Neurospora crassa OR74A: one gene and its partner. The protein of the gene in region 2 purifies or fractionates together with the protein of the main gene of each other region. This does not show direct contact. Links are inferred from orthologs where the notes say so. Each region holds a gene or a part of one and is shown on either strand. Other genes may lie near its edges.

Region 1 (4,571 bases), on a different chromosome or scaffold from region 2:
GTTGGCGAAAGTCGGATGAATCAAAGACCAGCGGAGAGCGCACCTAGCAATCTCAAATAGCGCGCGGCGCCAGTACAGCTGGCTGAGGTTGCAGATGTGACGGCAACACCCATGATCACTAAGCGCGGAAACTTTGCAGGGAGCATTGCTATGGCGTTGACACACACACACACTCACACCCACACACACACATGAAGGTTTTCAAAGCACACCCACACGCATTCGGACAGGCAGACAACGGACCAGCATTCATATTTTTTCTTTTATTTTTTGCGTCTTCTCTCTTGTTCTTTATATCTATATCAGAAACGCACGCAGCTGGACAGACAGACGGACAGACGGACAGACAGACGGGACAGAGGAGAGAGTCCATCAAGAAGCGGATGAGCAACTCGGCATTGGATGTGGTCACGGTACAAATACACTTCGTTCAGGAACTCTACACTACTATATTGCGAGACACTGTACTACACTACGGCAACCGGGACTATGAAAGACATACACATGCCATCGGTCCACAATGCCTTATATCTTATACCTGTTTTGCATTTGTTCACTCCCTCAACGTATGCATATCGTATGTTTTATCCCAAGATAGGATACTAAACCCACTTGTCTATAAATACCCGGGGGAAGAGGACGGGAGACTTGTAGCGATAGGTTAATGGCAGATATCCTCGATGGTTTGTCTTATGCTGGGCTTTATGCTTTTGTGGTTATGTTGTCTGTCATCAGGACGGTTGTGATACTTTTCTTGTTGATAATGTTCATAATGAAGATATCGCCGAATTGGATTAAAAGTGCCCTTGCCCTATATACGCAGAATCCTTCAAGGCCATGTTCGGTCAGATGTTGATTACGGTTACCTGCATGCCACGCCTGTCGTCTAAACTGTAGTGGTAAGAAAACTGATAAGCAATTATTCCCGATCGAGGTTAGGTAGGGTTCGTGAGGCAAGTGGAAAGCGGCGGCTGTTGGGTGGGGCATTCCGGAATGTCAAACTCCATTTTTGATGGGGTTCACAATGGAGTCGATGGGATGGCGGCATAGTACTGAGTGCCGCCCGCTGTGATAACTGGTCATAGTGGTGACGGTGGTGGTGGTGTCTTTGGAAGCGAACAAGGAGAAGGACGAAAACGAACAAGAGCGAGTCTTTCATTCAGTTCACCTCGTCCGTGACGAAATCATCGAGACCCTTGGCTGTACAACTCGTGGGCGGCAAACGAGGGTCTTATATAATTTGTCATGGAGGTAAGCTCGAATGGAGATCTCCAACAAACTTTCCTTCCCCCACCTGATCCATGCAATGCCAAACTCAGTTAGCGCGTGCTACCCAAGCTTCTGCCTCTGCTCAACACTCGTTCGCCTCGCCCCTCTGACTGTGGACTTTTTTTTTTTGGACGTTCCTTGCCCCTTCCCCTCCATTCTCCTCCAAAAGCTCATGGACCGCGACGGGGAGATCCATAATAATTTTTTCTGACAGCCCTGACAGCGTCAAAACGAGCTCCGGAGAACGGCCGGCATACCGGTACACGTACCGTTTGTGGGAGTTTCCTATCGCGTTAGTACCTGCCCGCCTTGACAAGCTTTTCTAGTAGCAGTGGACAGAGAGCTCTTGTAACTCTGTAAGGTAGGTAAGTAAGCAGTGACAGTACACCTAGCTGGGGGATCTCCATGCCAGAAAAAAAAATCCCCCGGGCCACAGCGTAACACACATATCCGACGATACCCTATCCGTGCTGGTGCCCTGTCTGTGAGCGCCGCCCGGCGTATCTCCAATTGAAGAGTTCGTTCCCTGACGTGCTGCGCCTGCTAGGTGCTGCACACCTGCCCTGGCTGCCCGCACCCAGTCCTGCCGTACCGGGCGCCCTGGCTCGCCTACCTACCCCATCGGAGCCCATCAATTCGCGACCCTTCCACACTCCCGTCCCAAGGATTTTCAGTTTGCCAGTTTGCTTTTGCTCGTCGACTCGTCCTTCATTCTCGTCCTCTCTCCGCTTCCACTCCTGTCGTCATCCACCCCCCCAAACTCTTTCAATCTCTCAGCTGCCATCGTATTTCCCAGCGAGACGAGAGAGACAGATAATCCAGAATGTTTTCTCGCGCAGCCCGGTTATCGACGAGGGTAGCGGCGCCCGTCCGCGCCCGCGTTGCTGCTCCCCGTGTCGTTATTCCCTCGATCGCCGCTAGGAGGTCCGTCACCACCAATGCTGCTTCGGCCCAGCTCGAGAAGCCCCTCCCAGAGGTACGTTTGTTTACTGTTGATGTCGGGATGTCGTTCGAAGTGGGTTTCGATGGTGGTATTGTGTGTGTTGGAGAAACAAAAGAAGACTGGAGGGAGGGAGAGACTCCCTAGTCATGTCCCCTCCCCGAGTCCCCCAAGCAACGCTCGTCGCGAGTCAAGCAAGTCATGTCCCATGCGAGTCTGTCTACCTTACCGCTTGCTGCCGGACCCGCCGGACCCGCCTTGATTCTCTTGACGTCAAGTCAATAGAAAACACCAGATGAACACCGTTTGTTTTGGTGGTTTCGAAACATATCATGTCGTCGCCGTCGTTGTCGTCGTTGGGGGCTGGGTTGTGCAGATTTTTGCGCGCAATCCAAAGACTGTTACTTGTCGCTACTACAACTACTCCTGGGAACGTCGATAAGCTTACCATGCAATTTTGCTTCAATCTAGTCGGAGACCGAGCCCTTCCAGGTCACCCTCAGCGATGAGAGCTTCGAGACCTACGAGCTCGACCCCCCTCCCTACACCCTCAATGTCACCAAGAAGGAGCTGAAGCAGATGTACTACGACATGGTCGTCGTCAGGTATGCAAAGACTACAATCCCCCTTGTCCTCACCGGGGGGCTCTAAGCTTCCCCCCTCCTATCTCTGCCGATCTCGGCCTGGAGGATCAACATGGCTTCACCACATAGCATATAGCTAACACATTGCTCTCTCTGCATATAGACAAATGGAGATGGCCGCCGACAGACTGTACAAGGAGAAGAAGATTCGTGGTTTCTGCCATTTGTCCGTTGGTCAGGAGGCTGTCGCCGTCGGTATCGAGCATGCGATCGAGAGAGCTGACGACGTCATCACCTCGTACCGTTGCCACGGCTTCGCCTACATGCGCGGCGGTACCGTTCGCTCCATCATTGGCGAGCTTCTCGGTCGCCGTGGCGGTATTGCCTACGGCAAGGGTGGTTCCATGCACATGTTCACCAAGGGCTTCTACGGCGGTAACGGTATCGTCGGTGCGCAGGTCGCCGTCGGTGCTGGTCTTGCTTTCGCCCACAAGTACACTGGCCGCAAGAACGCTTCCATCATCCTCTACGGTAAGCCTTTTCTTGGTGGGAACAACGTTGGGGGTTCGGAAGGCTAATACATTGTTATAGGTGATGGTGCCAGCAACCAGGGTCAGGTCTTTGAGTCTTTCAACATGGCCAAGCTCTGGAACCTCCCTGCCCTTTTCGGCTGCGAGAGTAAGTAGCCCAGGTTTCATGGTCTTAGATACTCTTACTGACATGTATGATGGTGCAGACAACAAGTATGGTATGGGTACCTCTGCCGCCCGCTCGTCGGCCTTGACCGACTACTACAAGCGTGGCCAGTACATCCCCGGTCTCAAGGTCAACGGCATGGACGTCCTTGCCGTCAAGGCTGCCGTCGCGTACGGTAAGCAGTGGACCAACAACGACAACGGCCCTCTCGTGCTCGAGTACGTCACCTACCGCTATGGTGGTCACTCCATGTCCGACCCCGGCACCACCTACCGTACCCGTGAGGAGATCCAGCGCATGCGCTCCACCAACGACCCTATTGCCGGCCTCAAGCAGCACATTCTCGAGTGGGGTGTTGCCTCGGAGGAGGAGCTCAAGAACCTCGACAAGGAGGCTCGCGCCTACGTCAACGAGGAGGTTGCCGCCGCCGAGGCCATGCCTCCTCCGGAGGCCAACCAGCAGATTCTGTTTGAGGACATCTACGTCAAGGGTACCGAGCCCGACTTCATCCGTGGCCGTACCCCTGATGAGCTTTTCTACTTCAAGCACTAAAAAAGTTAAAATTGAGTAGAGAGGCAGAAGTAATGACAAACTAGATGGGTTTTTTCAAGTTACAACCAAGAAACTTGTCCTTTCCTCTGATGCATATCACAAAACCAAAAATGGTGCTGGCGTCTTTTATCTACGTCGGCCATCATGGACGGTCGTCACTTCTTCTTTCCATTTTCCTTGTATAATAAAACATTTCTGCGTAGCGCAAAACAGTCACAAACACAACCACACACACAAACACATATATATATATATATATCTAGACAGGTTTTAGGGGAAAGGGATGGGGAAAGGGAAGGCGGGTTATGAAATTGATAAGCTTTCAAGATAGCTGTCTTGTTATGATGCAACAGCTGAATGACTGGGCTTGTGAGATGAGGTCCGATATCGTATCGCAGCCTGCCCCTCCCTGCCCAGCCTCGAATTGCCAGCCCTGTCTGTCGTATCAAATCGGGTTCTCAGCCCAACATTTTTGAGCTGTTGGAGATTTGGAGATCAAATTGATGGGCGGTGCTTGGCGCTTACGTTGC
Region 2 (4,405 bases):
ATCTCAGTAGTGACTGCCTTCAGTCAGCAGTCATGATGCTCAGAGTGGGCAGGAGCTCTTCCACTTTGTTACTCAGCCTTGATAACATTCCAGTATGCTCTCAGGGAAGGAGCAGACGAAGGTCAATCTCATCCGGCCGCTTGGCCATAAGCAGAAAGTCAACTGGTGCCGTCTGCCGCGGTCGGTCTGGAAGTTGACAGTCTGACACCTCGTTGTTCATCAACACCAGCGGCCGCCGCCCATTATCTTGGCATCACACTTATGATGCCCCCTGGTCAGGACCTTTCCTCGCTTTGCCAAAGCAGAATCTGTCCAAATACTGATATCCAAAATTAAAATTGGTATCCTCAGCCAAGCAGCAGGTTTGCCAAAACATGGCAGCTTCGACCACATATTTGGCTAGAAATGGACAAACAGATTGGGGTGCCATTCCCAAATCCTGTATCCAAAAGTCCTCAAGTTGCCTAACCGATGCCGGGGCTGAACTCAACTCTAACAAACGAAAAAGAAACAAAGATTTCCTGTATTTCCCGCACACCTCATGCTCAAGTTTTTGCTTATAAAAAGTGGGATCGAATCATTATACATATGGTGGTTGAGAGAGAACACAAACATGACACTGAATGGAACCTCCCAAAAGCTTTTGTAGCATCAGCTCGCTTTTTTGTCAACCAACTGACTGACATTGTCATTCCATCACCTCTCTTCCTCCCATCCATTCATCCATCCTTCCAATGCCTGCCCATTTCTATAAAATCTCATGCGCCGGCCTGCCGTGAACTTGGGGCCAAGTGACTGCTATCTAGTTTGCAGTCGCTCGATCCGTATAACTCCACTGAACGTCATCCAAAACAGAGTGCTATTCGCGTTTAAAGGAGGAGCTCGAGAGGGTTCTCAATGACCTTCTTCAACTCGCGGATCCACTCGGCACCGACAGCACCATCGACAACCTTGTGGTCAAAGCTGGCAGTGACGATGATCTGCTCGTCCCAAGAGACACCGGTGGTGCCATCCTCGTTCTCAACGGGGACGGCAACCTTCTGGGGGGCGCCAACGGCAAGGATGGCGGCCTGGGGAGGGTTGATGATGGCGGTGAAGCTCTGGACGGCGGGGTTCATGCCCATGTTGGAGATGGAGATGCTGCCACCCTGGTACTCCTCGGGCTTGAGCTTGCCGTCGCGGGCCTTCTTGGCGAGCTCCTTGACGGCGGCCGAGATGCTCTCGAGACCCTTGCCCTCGACACCCTTGACAATGGGGGTGATGAGGCCGTTGGGGGTGGCGACGGCAACGGAAACGTCGACGGTCTCGAACTGGCGGATGACACCGTCGCGCCACGAGCTGTTGACGGTAGGGACGCGCTTGGAAGCAATACCCATGGCCTTGATGAGGAAGTCGTTGACCGAAAGCTTGTAGCGGCCATCAGCAGAGCTGTTGAGCGCCTGGCGGAGCTTGAGAAGCTTGCTGACGGAGAGGTTGGTGGAAACGAAGAAGTGGGGGTTCTCCGTGACAGACTCCTTCAAGCGGGCGGCAATAGTCTTGCGCATGCCAGAGATGGGGACATCAGTGTAGGCAGCGGCGGCGGCACCGGCAGCGGGAGCGCTAGCAAGAGCCTTCTTGACATCCTCCTCAGTGATCTTGCCACCGGGACCAGAGCCCTTGACGTTGCGCAGGTCGATGCCCTTCTCGCGAGCGAGTCTCTTGGCAGCGGGGAGAGCGTTGGGCTCGCGCTCGAGGGCAGTCTGGAAGCGGCCGGTGAAGCTAGTGTTCTCGGGCTCGGGAGCGGGAGTAGGAGCGGGGGTCGGAGCGCTGGCGGTGCTCTCGTTCTTGGGCTCATCCTTGGGGACAGCGGGGGAGGTCTCGCCGCCGGCATCCTTGAGGGTGAAGTCCTTGAAGGCGTTGACGTCGGTGCCCTCCTCGACGAGAATGGCAATGGGCTAGAGAAGGAGGAAGAAGCATGGTCAGCATGGGTCGTCTGTCTACATTAGGCGCGCACAAGCTAAGGCGACGCGGGGCGTGTAGACGCTCAACGGCACCATGACATATCACCCGACAGGCGAGACACAGGGCACGAGGCGCGCACGAGGCATAAAGGAAGAAGAGTGGATTCAGGGTCGAGTGGGGAAGAGGGTCGGGATGGGAGGAGATGTGCATGGAGTCATGGAGTTGGAGTAGGTAGGGCTGGAGTGTTTGGCAGGTATGATGACTCGTGGCTCGACAGGTAGTGTAGGTAGGTACTTACGTTGCCAACGGCGACGTCCTTCTCGCCCGAGTCCTTGAGGATCTTGGCGAGGACACCCTCCTCCTGGAACTCAAAGTCCATCTGGGCCTTGTCGGTCTCGATCTCGACGAGCACCTCACCGGGCTCGATCTTGTCACCGGGCTTCTTCTGCCATGCGCCAATACCGCCCGAGGTCATGGTGGGCGAGAGGGCGGGCATCTTGACGACGGTGTGAGGGGGGTACGAGGCGTACCATCTTGTGAGGCTGGGGAGGGCGACACGGGCGACGCTGGCATGGCGGAGAGCCTGCCTTGAGAGGACGGGGACGATCATGGTGAGAGGGTGTGATGTGAAGGTTGGGTGGTTGTGGTGGTGTTTTTTTTGAGAGAGGAGGTTGTGTTCAATTTGCTAGTATGGAATGTTTATGTGGGGATTCCAAACCAAGCTGGAGGAGCAGCACTCAGCAGCAGTGGCAGCGGCGGCAGGACCTTGGAGAGGGGAAAGGCCGACCGGGGGGGAGGGGGGCAGAGGGACGCGGGTTGGAGAAGCTGGCTTGTGCGGAGGGAGGCCGGGATGTCTGATTGATGGACGCGGATTCGCAGTAGGGCCAAGCCTGGAGGTGTAAGTCGTCGACTGCGCGAGTCAGGTTGATGCGGAAAAAGAGTGGAAAAAGAACGGGAAGATTGCAGGTTTGGAAAGATGGAAGACTGCGCGAGATGAGATTCGACCTGAATGACGGATTCGTCGTGGAGAGCACAACAGGAAGATGACAGCGGGCAGCGGCGGGATACGGAGCCGGACTTCAATCGGCGACACTCGTGAACTTTTTTTTTTTTTTTTTTTTTCCCTCTCTCTCCACTGCGGCGGTGGCATCACACTTTCTCACTTCCCGTCACCAACCACACTCACCACACTCACTGCCCGCCTTGTGTCCCCTCAGCTCCTTGCTCTCTGCCCCCCTGCGATTTCTCCCAACAGTTGGGGGAAGCTCCCCCCAGCAGTTCCAGCGTAAGCAGAGCCCCCGCCGAGCCAAGGCCAGGCTATTTCAGGGCTAGCACGGCCTCGCAGCTGCCCGGTGCCCAAAGACAGCAGGAGGCCAAGCTTTGAGAATCCCCCGGTCGCGCAACGGGGAGTAAATGACGCTAAGCCTAATGGGGGCAGATGGATGATTGATTACTTGATAAGAGAGGTTGCAATCACGAACTGGAATTGTCAAGCTAACCTAGCTTTGGAGCAGTGATATCTTGTTTGAATATCTATATGTATGAGCAGCGCGCATGGAGGTGCTATCTGTATTTGCGAGTTATGAAGACCTGAATATCAAGTAACCTTATGGACCAAAGTGAGATGCGGACTTCAACAGTTCTCCGATGAACAACCTCGAGAGAGATGAAGTGCTGACAGGGACATCGGACTGGCAGCTGCACGGATCCATAACAGTTCGCGCTAAGGTACGGATTACGTTCTGCGGGCCGATCGGAGGATTTGATTGCGATGGAAACCGTCAACTCCAAGAGGATTGGACTCTGCAGTGTCAGTGATGTCAAACTAAGGGACCCGATCCATGAGAGATGCTGCAGAATGGCATATAATGACAAAATTGGACTGGTGATGACATTTCAGTTTTCGTATGTACAAGCAATCAGGAGCAGCTAACAACGGTCTCTCGTCATCAGTCATATTCCCAACCTCTGAAGAGCTTCGTATCCGAGTTGCCCTGAGATCGTGTTGTAGAAGCTGAAAAGGCACACGACTTGGTTATTGATTAAACTTCCCACGAGGTATTCATACCATCAAGACTCCAAGCCTATGGTAGTAACACAAGTTACAGTTTGGCTTCCCTCCGATGGATGTGAAATACGCCGTGTCATGGATCACCGGTGTCCAATATGTCCAAAGACAACTGATACGCAAAAGAGATGGGATCCATATCTACAATGGAAGACGGGATTGAATGGCTATCATCGGATTCTTCAAAAGCTGACGCCGGCGGCGGGCTACCAATGAACAGACCAATTACTGACCCATGCGTCAAAAAGAGTATCCACGGCTGCAGTTCCGGCAGGCAAAGCGGCTGGCAGATAGATTGATACGTACGGAGATAAAGTGAGAGGTACGTAGGTACGTGTAGGTACCTGATGGAAGAGGAAGGGAAGTGGAAGGGTCGGGAATGGTCCGTGCCCGCGA

Evidence for each region.
Region 1: the proteins of ace-4 (region 2) and ace-2 purify together in Saccharomyces cerevisiae (affinity purification with mass spectrometry; 4 studies listed by BioGRID). This does not show direct contact. The link is inferred for Neurospora crassa OR74A from reciprocal best matches to the Saccharomyces cerevisiae genes LAT1 and PDA1.

The regions. Positions count from the first base shown.
Region 1 is NC_026503.1:1,563,123-1,567,693, reverse strand, and holds ace-2 (pyruvate dehydrogenase E1 component alpha subunit), read left to right. Parts: upstream 1-1,643; 5' UTR 1,644-2,092; coding exon 2,093-2,245; intron 2,246-2,680; coding exon 2,681-2,814; intron 2,815-2,956; coding exon 2,957-3,324; intron 3,325-3,384; coding exon 3,385-3,471; intron 3,472-3,529; coding exon 3,530-4,041; 3' UTR 4,042-4,483; downstream 4,484-4,571. Other genes in the region: NCU16634 (hypothetical protein), read left to right, coding at 192-665. UniProt on the Saccharomyces cerevisiae protein: The pyruvate dehydrogenase complex catalyzes the overall conversion of pyruvate to acetyl-CoA and CO(2).
Region 2 is NC_026504.1:431,384-435,788, reverse strand, and holds ace-4 (pyruvate dehydrogenase complex), read right to left. Parts: upstream 3,064-4,405; 5' UTR 2,552-3,063; coding exon 2,240-2,551; intron 1,935-2,239; coding exon 870-1,934; 3' UTR 272-869; downstream 1-271. UniProt on the Saccharomyces cerevisiae protein: The pyruvate dehydrogenase complex catalyzes the overall conversion of pyruvate to acetyl-CoA and CO(2).